Lytechinus pictus: one gene and its partners. The protein of the gene in region 2 purifies or fractionates together with the protein of the main gene of each other region. This does not show direct contact. Links are inferred from orthologs where the notes say so. Each region holds a gene or a part of one and is shown on either strand. Other genes may lie near its edges.

The links.
Region 1: the proteins of T-complex protein 1 subunit beta-like (region 2) and dynein axonemal assembly factor 10-like purify together in Homo sapiens (affinity purification with mass spectrometry; 3 studies listed by BioGRID and IntAct, with this or other methods). This does not show direct contact. The link is inferred for Lytechinus pictus from reciprocal best matches to the Homo sapiens genes CCT2 and DNAAF10.
Region 3: the proteins of T-complex protein 1 subunit beta-like (region 2) and viral IAP-associated factor homolog purify together in Homo sapiens (co-immunoprecipitation; 3 studies listed by BioGRID and IntAct, with this or other methods). This does not show direct contact. The link is inferred for Lytechinus pictus from reciprocal best matches to the Homo sapiens genes CCT2 and PDCL3.

Annotation. Positions count from the first base shown.
Region 1 is NC_087251.1:10,516,292-10,520,049, reverse strand, and holds the start of dynein axonemal assembly factor 10-like, read right to left. Parts: upstream 2,343-3,758; 5' UTR 2,165-2,342; coding exon 1,991-2,164; intron 1-1,990. UniProt on the Homo sapiens protein: Key assembly factor specifically required for the stability of axonemal dynein heavy chains in cytoplasm.
Region 2 is NC_087263.1:2,305,313-2,309,070, reverse strand, and holds the start of T-complex protein 1 subunit beta-like, read right to left. Parts: upstream 2,392-3,758; 5' UTR 2,305-2,391; coding exon 2,302-2,304; intron 692-2,301; coding exon 557-691; intron 1-556. UniProt on the Homo sapiens protein: Component of the chaperonin-containing T-complex (TRiC), a molecular chaperone complex that assists the folding of actin, tubulin and other proteins upon ATP hydrolysis.
Region 3 is NC_087245.1:32,495,672-32,499,429, forward strand, and holds the start of viral IAP-associated factor homolog, read left to right. Parts: upstream 1-1,058; 5' UTR 1,059-1,209; coding exon 1,210-1,215; intron 1,216-3,758. UniProt on the Homo sapiens protein: Acts as a chaperone for the angiogenic VEGF receptor KDR/VEGFR2, increasing its abundance by inhibiting its ubiquitination and degradation.

The DNA of each region.
Region 1 (3,758 bases), on a different chromosome or scaffold from region 2:
TGCATATCACTGTTTTGTGAAAAATAAGCGAAACTTTAATAAAATGTCATAACTAAACTATCTTATTTTACATCCGATTTTGATGAAATTTTCAGCACTATGCTAGTTTGATTTTTCTCTTTATTCAAGTTAGACCAAAAGCTTCGGTCTCTGTTATGTTATGTTGGTTGTTCAGCTGAACTCTGTTGGCTTCACTCACCAAATACAGAGACCAAAGTTTTTGCGCGATCTGTACAGGGGACTGAATGGCCATGCGTGTATGTATTAAGTTTGGATAAAACAGGGAAGTGATTTTGCGCGACAGCCGAGGTAAGTCACTGTTTCTGTTCCTTTTAACTTGATTTTTTCCCTGTTTTTGGCAATTAATACCAAGAGGAAATATTAATTTACATTTCGGTCGCATTAATTTTCAAGATTTTGATTCATTAAAGACAAAAATTGAAGAGCCCCGACAGGGGGATTTTGCATTGTAAGTCCCCTAATGGTGGCTGCAGGATAGCAAGCCGTCTGTGTAGGACTACGAGGAGAAATTTAAAAAATAAAAAAAAGTTAAAAAACTCCTCGAAACAGACGGATGCCAGCTGTCTATATTCAAGTCAGCATTTTCCCTAACCCAGGAACTCCCGCCCGCAGCCCAGGAGCTTACCGTGTATTTGACCATACTCACGGGACTAGCGTGATTTATGGTCTAAATATTTTTCCAAATGAATTGTGAAAACAGAAATTATGCACTTACCACGATTATATGGATGAAGGTCTAACGAGTGGCAGTTTCCTGACGAGGCTCAGACTGGAACTTCAAAAAAACGAAAAGTTCTCTCCTTCTACCCCAGTCTCGATCGGCCATTTTGTTACGATTCATAACACAAATGGCCAATCGAGACGGGGGTAGAAGGAGAGAACTTTTCGTTTTTTTGAAGTTCCAGTCTGTGCCTCGATGTCAGGAAACTGCCACTCGTTAGACCTTCATCCATATAATCGTGGTAAGTGCATAATTTCTGTTTTCACAATTCATTTGGAGAAATATTTAGACCATAAATCACGCTAGTCCCGTGAGTATGGTCAAATACACGGTAAGCCCCTGGGCTCCGGCCCGCTGTGCGGGCCGGAGCTCCCTGGGTTACATTTTCCCATGACATGTTTCCTGGGGTGGACTAGCCAGGCGGCTTCTAGAGAGTAAAAATCATTTTCTAACGTAAGGTCACTCTCATATGAAGCCAGGGCTTCCGTCATATACTTTTGCGTGTACCACCAAAAAACCTGAAACTTTCGCCCCCGAAATTTCTACTTTCTTTCTAAAAGATCTAGCCCTAAATCATGTACATGGAATAAAACTTCATTTCCGACATTTCTACGCTCTCGTTGTTATTTTTGAACAAGAATACATCAAAAAAATGAGAGAAATATTGTGTAAAGACGGAAGAGACTCGCCCAATGTTTACGCCGCCATCTTGTTTTCTATTGTTCTTCCCCAACGTTACCCGACGCACACGTCTGTAACGTTGGCGAAGAACAATAGGAAACAAGATGGCGGCGTAAACATTGGACGAGTCTCTTCCGTCTTTACACAATATTTCTCTCATTTTTTTGATGTATTCTTGTTGAAAAATAACGAGAGCGTAGAAATGTCGGAAATGAAGTTTTATCCCATGTACATGATTTAGGGCTAGATCTTTTAGAAAGAAAGTAGAAATTTCGGGGGTGAAAGTTTCAGGTTTTGGCTTCCATTGTGTGGGTCTATGGGATAGAAGGCCTGGCTTCATGAGATTGACCTTACGTTAGTAAATGATTTTTACTCTCTAGAAGCCGCCTGGCTAGGCCCTAGGGTGGACTTGATTGACCTTTAACTAGGGCCTAGGCAATTTTCAGAATACGGCCCAGGTCAGTAAATGCATTGACATGGACAAGTGTGGTGTGACTGGTGTCCATCTTGTAAAATCAATACCACGGCAGTGCCACCTCCCCGCCGGAACAACGAATCTGATACTACCTCGTGTATTAATTTAGGTTCTCCTTGATCCATCTCGAACACTTGCAAAGCCCCCGTCTGTCTCGGGTGGCAACCAAGCACAACGAACCGGGCACTTCTGGGGATCCATTTCACGTCGTATAGCGTTATGTTCAAGGATTTTGTAGCATGAATTATGATCTGTGGTTTGTCCATACTGAATTTCACACAAGTGAGAATTACGTCGGAATCAAAATATACTGTTAATAGTATCCGAATAGATGGAATTTGCAATCGGCGTCCCGTTTCTAAGCGCTAAGGCTAAGCTAAGACAGTGTCGAGATTGAGGAAGTTCTTCGCGATATCGATACGGCGGCGCTCGTGTATTATATATATGGGTAAAAGCAAGACAAATTAAAAAGGGAAAACATATTTACCAAGCAAGACTTCAACGACGTGTAACTTTACCTTTGTGCAGACCCAAAGAGGGCAGAAGGCGGGGGGGGGGGGGGGGGTGTGCACATCAGTGGTGGAACCGGTGGGTGCAACACCAAATCCCACTTTTTTTAATGCTTTTTGTACAAAATGTGTTTAAAGAAGTGGATTCCCTTTCCTTCCCCTCCCCCATGGTCAACCTTTAAAAACTTACATAAAAAAAATGAAATATGTTATCTCAGCAAAATAAATGAAGAAAAGCCGAAGAAAATTTCACTTTTACTAGTTTCCATTTATTATTCAAGGGCCTGTTTCATCATAAGTCTAACTTCTTGACTAAATCGGAGATGGTGAGCTACTTGTCCTCTATAACCATTTCATGAAGCCCTTTTTGCCAAGATCGGGGACAAGAACCTGACTAAATATTTATGACACCTCCGAACCAGTCATAACTTCTTTTGTAATGACGTAGTGGCATCAAGTGGGTAGACTCGTGCCTCAAAATTTGAAAATTGTAATCTTACATACAGTAATTAATCATAGAAGTTGAAATTACATTGCAGAACAAGTGAGACGGCTCATTCAATGATAATTGTAAAACACCACAAAACCATTCATTTTGAAATAGTAAAATAATTGAATCAATAAAGATTCTGCCACTGGACTCGTACTCATGGTTCTCAGACCCTTTTCAATATTTTGATAAATACAATCTCTAATTTATGCATAGAATTTGTCAAATCATATCTTTCAGTATATCTATCGATTTACACAATTTCTGTTGCACTATATTTTGATGATGTATGGAATAAAAAAAAAACGTTTATCATCATTTTACAAAGAAAACCTTAATGGTTTCATTCCGTATATCTCGGGGCTACACATCTCAACGTCCACATGTGATTTTCAGTAATGAAATGAATTCTTTGTAATTTCATTTTATTAGCAATTAAAAGCTCCAGTCTTCATAAATAAATTTACTTGATCAAACCATGCTCATAAACAACCTTGAGCATATTCAGAAGGGCAACAACAGTACTTGACTATTTATTTCAAGTCTGATAATGGGAGATGCACAATGATGGAGAGAACAGGTCATGTCTGTTTCATGCCGAATTCCAACAATTTTGCATTCTTGTTTTCATTACTTTTTTAAAATAATTTTTTGAGGTCAAGTTAATAATTCACTGTACCTTTATTAATGAAAAAAATTAAATGTTCACTTTCGCAAAGTGCAATACACTTGTGGTTTGCCCTTCATTGGTCATCTTAATGTACTCATCACTTATCCATATTTTCTTTCAAATTGGTGCATTAATTCCCTATAAATCATAACAAATATCATTTTAAAAATCTTTCTCACCCTTCTGAACTT
Region 2 (3,758 bases):
AAAGATAAAACATGATCGGCATAGTTGTTTTTCATCATTGTCCTGATTTTTTCCCCCCAATAATCCATCTGTTAGATCATTTTAAATTTTAAGAATACAAGGTGATCATCTTTAGAAAGAAATTCCTTTTTCCAAGCAGAACAGCTTACGGCCAGGGCTCCACACTAACCCTTTTTTTCTACTGGTCCAACCTGTTCATGTCGGACCAGTAGATACCCAATTTCTCCTTATTTTACTGGTCCGAACCTAAATATACTGGTCCCCCAAACTAAAGAACACCATAAACAAGAATAAGTTTATTTTGCTGTCATTTATTGCTTTTATTGCCCCCCCCCCCAAAAAAAAAATACAAACAAACAGTACACACAGCACAATTCATGAGAGCCATTTTTATAATTTACAAGAGGAGAAAATATAATTTGTATAAGCTTGAAATATTTTTTACTGGTCACGTCAGACCAGTAAATCTGGGTAATTCTGAAAAGTTACTGGCCCGACAGCAATTTTTACTGGTCTGGGACCGTCGGACCAGTGCCAGTGTCGCGCGCAGGCTTACCATTCCTTTGGGACCTAGTGTGCTCTTGATCAAGTCTCCAATGGCGATGGCGCCAATGAAAGATGACATACGAGCAAGCTCTGCTTTCTCCTCCTCCGCATTATGCTTTAGAATCTGAACAGGTTGAAGGGATACCTATGACAAACAATAAGAAGTGGAAATTAAACATGCAAAAATTTCTTAAATCATGTTGTCTCTCTACTGATAAAAAAAATTTCCATGTTGACAATGCTCAATGTAAATACATTGGGTACGAAAATACATTAATAAAAAAAAAAAAAAAAAATATATATATATATATATATATATATATATATATTATTAATGCCATTTAACTTGAATTTATGAAAGAACCTAAAGCAAGGTTTACATGTAAAAGAAAATTGATGCTGATATTAAGCTGGTTTAGCAGGGGAAAAAAGAAAAAGTATCACTACAAAGCCTGGCTTGGCAATAAACCATTTATTTTGAAGAACACCAGATGCATAGTTATATTAATGGAATGAGTGAATACAGCAGTTTTTCCATTTTTCAATTTCCCCCTCCCCTTATTTCATTCACTTTTATCAATATCCCTCCTTTTTTCTCTTTTTTCCCTCCTCCCTCCCTATTTTCGTCTTTTTTCTCTTTTTTGCGCTGCCAATACAGTGGGGAGCTGGGGGCGGACCCTTTGACCCCCGCCTGGATTATTTAGGCTAATCGCCACGCACAAAAAAATCAAGCCATAGAAGTCACGTGTTGTGGACGCTAGAAGTGGGGTCGCAGCATGCGTGACCCACTAGTAAGAAATCCACTGCCAAACGCGGTTCATGGTGCGAGGTTAGCAATAGTATACTAATACTAACCTCGCACAAATTATTCCATTTTATCTTTATTATTCCATGTTACATCTGAAGGTCAAACATCAATTTGGTATCCTGCCCCCCCCCCCCCGAGTTTAAGGTAAATTTGATGCCGCTTCATTTCAGGTCAATTTGGCACCCCAAAGGTCGAACTCAAACATGAATTTGCCCCCCCCCCCCACTTCCCGGCTTTTTAATTACTTTTTTTCCTCTCTCCCCTTTTTTCTCCTTTCTCCCCTTCCCTCTTTTTCCTCTACCCTCTCTTTTTTCCCCCTTTTGTCTCTTACTCTTCATGTCTTTTTACTATTTTTCTCTCCCTTTTCTTGTCCTCTCTTTCCTTCCCCCTTTTCAGCGCTCTCCCCTCCCTTTACATAGTACATGCATGATTGCTTGCCTTGCAGTTGAAACAACAACAGCACACACACTCATGACACTTTCTTTGTGTTCACTGGACTGTCCAGCCTCCAGGCGTTTCTCTAAATCTGCATCATTTTCATTCTCTGTCTCTGACCAAATCAAGAATGAAGAAAGCAGCACCGGGAATCCGGGATTGCCAAAAGATTTTAGGACAACAAAAAATACTGAATTCACCACTTAATTTTCGTAATTGAGATAGATCTAATAGTTATCCTTATTTACTATCAAAGTATAATTAGAAAAGTTAAGATTGGGAGCGCTCAGGCTCAGCCTCATCCATAACGAAATCATCATTTTGGGGAAAATACACAAAAATCAATAGGCGGGATCAGGGTAATTTGCGGTTGCCAAGCAATTATAACCGGCGGACACTTCATGTAATTAAAAACATTGTATGACAATCATGCATAAAATAAAATCCATCTAATGGATAAGCACTAAATTCATATTTAACGATAATGATATATAAACAGTGAATATGCATACCATTTTGAAGAATTAGGGTGTGTTTCGAGTGAATTTTCGATCTCTTTTTTAGCACGAGGAACTGTAAAATTTTCAACACCAGAGGGCGACGTGCGTTGAAATTTAGGCTCGGTAGAACCGTCTCGAACATTTTGTAAAAGGCCCTACATAATATATAGTTACCGGTAATATAAAAACAAAATTGATTCCCACATAGGCCTATGCCTTAATCAATAATCAAACCAAACTAGATCCGACGCTGGATGGATCAATGTGAGTTTAAAACATAAACTAAACTAACTAAACTAATATACAAAAAAATACAATTGATATACGCGACGCTTCCCAGAAGGAAAAACCAGTTCCACTGGACCAGTTAGACCAGTAGAATTTTAACTGATAACTCTGGAAATTGGAACATCGATTTTCTGGTCTAACTGGTCCAGTATACTGGTCTTGTTACTGGTCTCACTGGTCTTCATACTGGTATCCAATTCAAGCTGGTCTTTACTGGTATTTTCTACTGGTGTGACTGGTCCTCGAACTGGTCGTACTGGTCCTCGTACTGGTCTTACTGGTTCAATTTATTACATGCATTTGGTTTGTTATATACCATGGTCAGTGAAATGTGATGGAAAAGATGGTTAGTAAATTAATATTTCTGCTGTTATTTTAAATGTGATATATGAAATTACACATTTTCATTGTGAATTAGTTCACACACTTATTTAGAAAGTTTTTAAACAATAATGAGTGCCATTGCATGCAAGGATATTTTATTCTAAATCCTGATTTTTCTTTAAAAAATAGGAAATATGCAAATGAGGTAATCCACGTGATCAGTTTCATCAGAATTACTGGTATTGCTGGTCTTGACCAGTTCAATTTCAAACAATGAATTACTTTAGACCAGTTGACTATATATCAGAGGAATATATCTTGCTTTGATCTTGATCATAATTATTTTAATGATAATGTTAATACTTGATAATTATGATAATATTAATAATACAATGATAACAGTAATAAGAATGATAACAACAATGATCATAATAATCATAATAATAATAATGATAATGATAATTATACATAATGGTTAGTCGCGTGCATTTGAGTGTCCGAAAGTCCCCACACACAGCTTCAACACAGGGAACAGTGGTTTTCATAAACGTAATATTGCAGAAATCCGGGTATATCTTTATAACTATTAATAATCTCACACCAGATTGATAATAGTGTGAAAATTGTATCCAATTCCATTAATTCGATGTAAATATTATTACAATTAATACACTATTAACGTCTCGCTGTTCATTTGAAAGTGTCCATGTTCACAACTTTTGTTATGGCAAACGGTTTAAAACCATCCATATTTTCGAGACGCTGGCACCTTTGTTTTCCCCCTGGAATTTATTTATTTATTTATTTATTTATTTATTTTGTTTTATTTATTTTATACTGCAGGGTAGGCCTGTTCA
Region 3 (3,758 bases), on a different chromosome or scaffold from region 2:
AATTATTGACGAAACCAGGAGGCAAATTCACAAGGCCCTGGGAACAATTTTGGGGTGGGGTTGCTGATGTACATTTTGACAAGCAAGCGAGAATAAAAAAAAAAACAATTCCCCAAAAGGGGGGGGGGGGTTCACAAACATGTTTCTTCGGTCTCGAAAATATTGACAAGCACCCCAAAGTAGAATAAAAATGGGTTTCACTACAAAATATAGGTCAGTTTGATAACATGTTTCCATTTTTTAACACCTACAATAATTTATGGGAGTGCTGCCTATAATCAGCTAGACGCAGCACCCCCAAGGAAAATCTTCAGCACCCCCGCATCCCATGCAGGGCCATGAAAATCACAAGGTAATAGTTGGGTCACGGTATTAACTGACATTGATTGCTTGTCATATCGAAAAGTTTAATTTTCTCTTCTTTTTATTCCGGATGGGGGCGGGGGTCCTCTCGCTCGCTTTGCACCTCTCACACGGCAGCATTTACTTCTTTTTTAAAATTAATTTCTTGAATGTGTGTACACCCGGGCGTTTGAAAGCCTCAGTTATGCATACATTTACGTAGGAATTGTGACTTTATTCGTACGACTGCATGGTGACCTTATCTTTGCCTTGAAGATGAGGGATATGATATGCAAGGCAGACCAAGCTTGCATGAAAAAGAAAAATACCCTGAGCTAGAACTCAACTGCTGGAATACAAATTAGACGCTTTGTCGATCTTTGATCAATTTTTTGTGAGAACTAAAAGGGGGTCAGATCTCATACACTTTGTTGATTTTGCTAAAAAAAAATAATATACTCCTTTTCCTATTTTTGACAATGTTTCTCTTTCTTTTCTCAGGTACTCCTGTTTGCATGCTAGCAATTTTTTTTAATTTTTTTTTTTGGGGGGCACGTGACCCCATATCCCAGTGTAGTTATTCACCTGGATCATGACTATCACTGACCTGTCAAGCATATACAAGGAGGATATTAATTCTTAAAAAATGTGACAAAACAAAATTTTAAAGGATTGCACTTATATTTTTTTTGCACTGAACGTGCAAGTAAAACAAAAACAAAATCGTGATCGATAGCGCTGCTGCATAGTATCGATATCTAGCTGAGGCGGAAATACTATCTCTCGAACCCGAGAAACGAGAGTTCTTATTTATTCTATTTGCGAAGCATCTGAGTCTCTCCCAGTTATCTAAAGTATATAGAAATCATGCAGGTAATGAAACGAAGTTTTGAGTGAGTGAATGATATTTATGATTATATATTTGTGTTGATTTTTAAGGGAATGTTGGGAAATTGAATAGAGGAAGCCTGAATACAATACACAAAAATGCACATTCGGGACTGAGCTGTGAGTACGTTTAAACATTGCACTCGTGATAAATCAATGGAAATGAGAAGTGGGCGGAGCTCCAGCAGAGCTTATCAATAGTCATTGCCGTGCGTGGATTTCCTTATTTGGTTATTAAAACATCTTCTTGTGTCTGGCAAAGGCTAAAACGTTTAAGATCTACATGTGTAATCATGATTGTTTTGTTGTTTTTGTTAATTTTCACTGAATTGGTTGTTCATTTGTACTAACTTTAGCCTTTTTAATGATAGGGAAGTTAGGGTGTCTGGAGAAAAGAAATATTTTTCTTATTTCAAGAAAATATCACATTTTTTTGTGAATTTGAAGAGAATTAACCATCAGACTGACAGAAATATAACATTTTTTGTTTAAATCCAATTATTTGCTGCAAAAAAGAAGAATGAAATTAGGTCAATTTTCAGCATTTCCTTGCCATAGACTGTGTAGTTAATAAATGGACACACACAAATCCAAATTTTTAGCTTCCGAGAGCTGTTATAAAAACTTATAAATTCATTATTAATGCCAAAAACTTGTCCATAAAGTGCCTAATATGAATTTTTATGCTCTTTCTGATGGTATGATTTTTATAAAGATTTGAAAACCAGATCACTATGAAAAATTGCGACAAAGTGAACAAATTTGTGCAAAACAAAAATTTCATTTTCCCATAGAAAACGCATGGGGAAATGGCAATCTCAACACACACACAAATAAGGGTTTGCAATTTATCTCTAAATCCTCATTTCAAATAATCCTATAAACTTGTCCTTACTGTTAAAAGAAGCCCCTGAATTTTCTCTTTCCATACATGCCAAATACAAGTTAAAGGACAAGTCCACCCTAACAAAAAGTTGATTTGAAAAAAGGAGAAAAATCCAACTAGCAAAACACTGAAAATTTCATCAAAATCGGATGTAAAATAAGAAAGTTATGACATTTTAAAGTTTCGCTTAATTTCACAAAACAGTTATATGCACATCCTATTCAGTATGCAAATTGGCAGACTGATGACGTCACCCACTCACTATTTATTTTCTATTTCATTATATGAAACATAAAATATTCTAATTTTCTCCTCCTTGTCAAGTGAAACAAAGTTTTATTTCTCCCTGAACATGTGGAATTACCATTATCTTAACAGTTCCTTATTGTCAAATTTGTAAAAATTGAAATATTTTATTATTCAAACAATAAAAAACAAAAGAAATAGTGAGTGATGGACATCATCGACTCTCTCATTTGCATATCGCTGAGTTGTACATTTAACTGTTTTGTGAAAAATAAGCGAAACTTAAAAATGTCATAACTTTCTTATTTTACATCCGATTTCGATGAAATTTGCAGCGTTATGTTTGTTTGATTTTTCTCTATCGATTCAAATCAACAATTTTCTGGGGTGGACTTGACCTTTAATAATTAATTCAGATCACATTTTTATAGCAGCCTGAATTTCCAGAAAAAATTTGCCATATTTTCCCCTAAATCAGCCTGTTTTAAGCTGACACTTTTCAGTGTGGCTTCAGACACCCTAATGATAGGCAAGAGTACCGTACTTGGGTCAAACCAAAAACTTTTGTAATTAGACCTACCACTACAGACACTGATTGAGTCAGCTAAGGTTAGTAGGCCTAGAACTTTGTAGAAGGAAACTTTATATTTTCTGAACATACACTATACATGTAGGTATACATGCACTAAATGATAATTGTTGAAGTATTAGTAATACTCTCAAACTTGTCAAAGAATTTTCTTACCATGACACAGGTACATGTAAATTAGATGGCCTTATTACAAAACAACATCTAAACTCAATCACAATTATTGGAAATACTCCTGTAAAATTGCAAAAAAACTGACCACAATGCACAACCATATCGTCCATCTGCCACGTCGACATCTGGTTTCAAGAATTAAAAGACTTTGTAATATATAACACTTACTTTGCTTGGAAGACGATTGACAGATGAATAGAATTTGTAATAGTATGAAGGTGGGCACCATGTCTGCGCACCTAATTATGTAATTTTTAATTTAACATGAATTTGTTTTAATTCCACAATACTTTTTCCATTGATAAAGTTCCTTATATGCTTATGAGGAAGTGTGCCAAAAATCTCATAAAAATTGGAAATAGATAATGGCCAGTCATTTTCAGATTAAAAAAGAAATGGTGCCCCATGTCTGCACACCCATTCACTTTACACACGATTCAGGGATTTTGATGAAGAAGGCAGCGTGTTGAGGCCGTCAGATGAAATGCCTAAAATTAAGTATTTTCCACCATTTTGAGTCAGATTTTTTAATGAATATCTGTCTATGTATTGCAGGTGTAAAGTTTTTTATCGTTGTGTATCTTCTTTTACTAGTATTAGAATCGTGCAGATAGGCATGCATGCAGACATGGG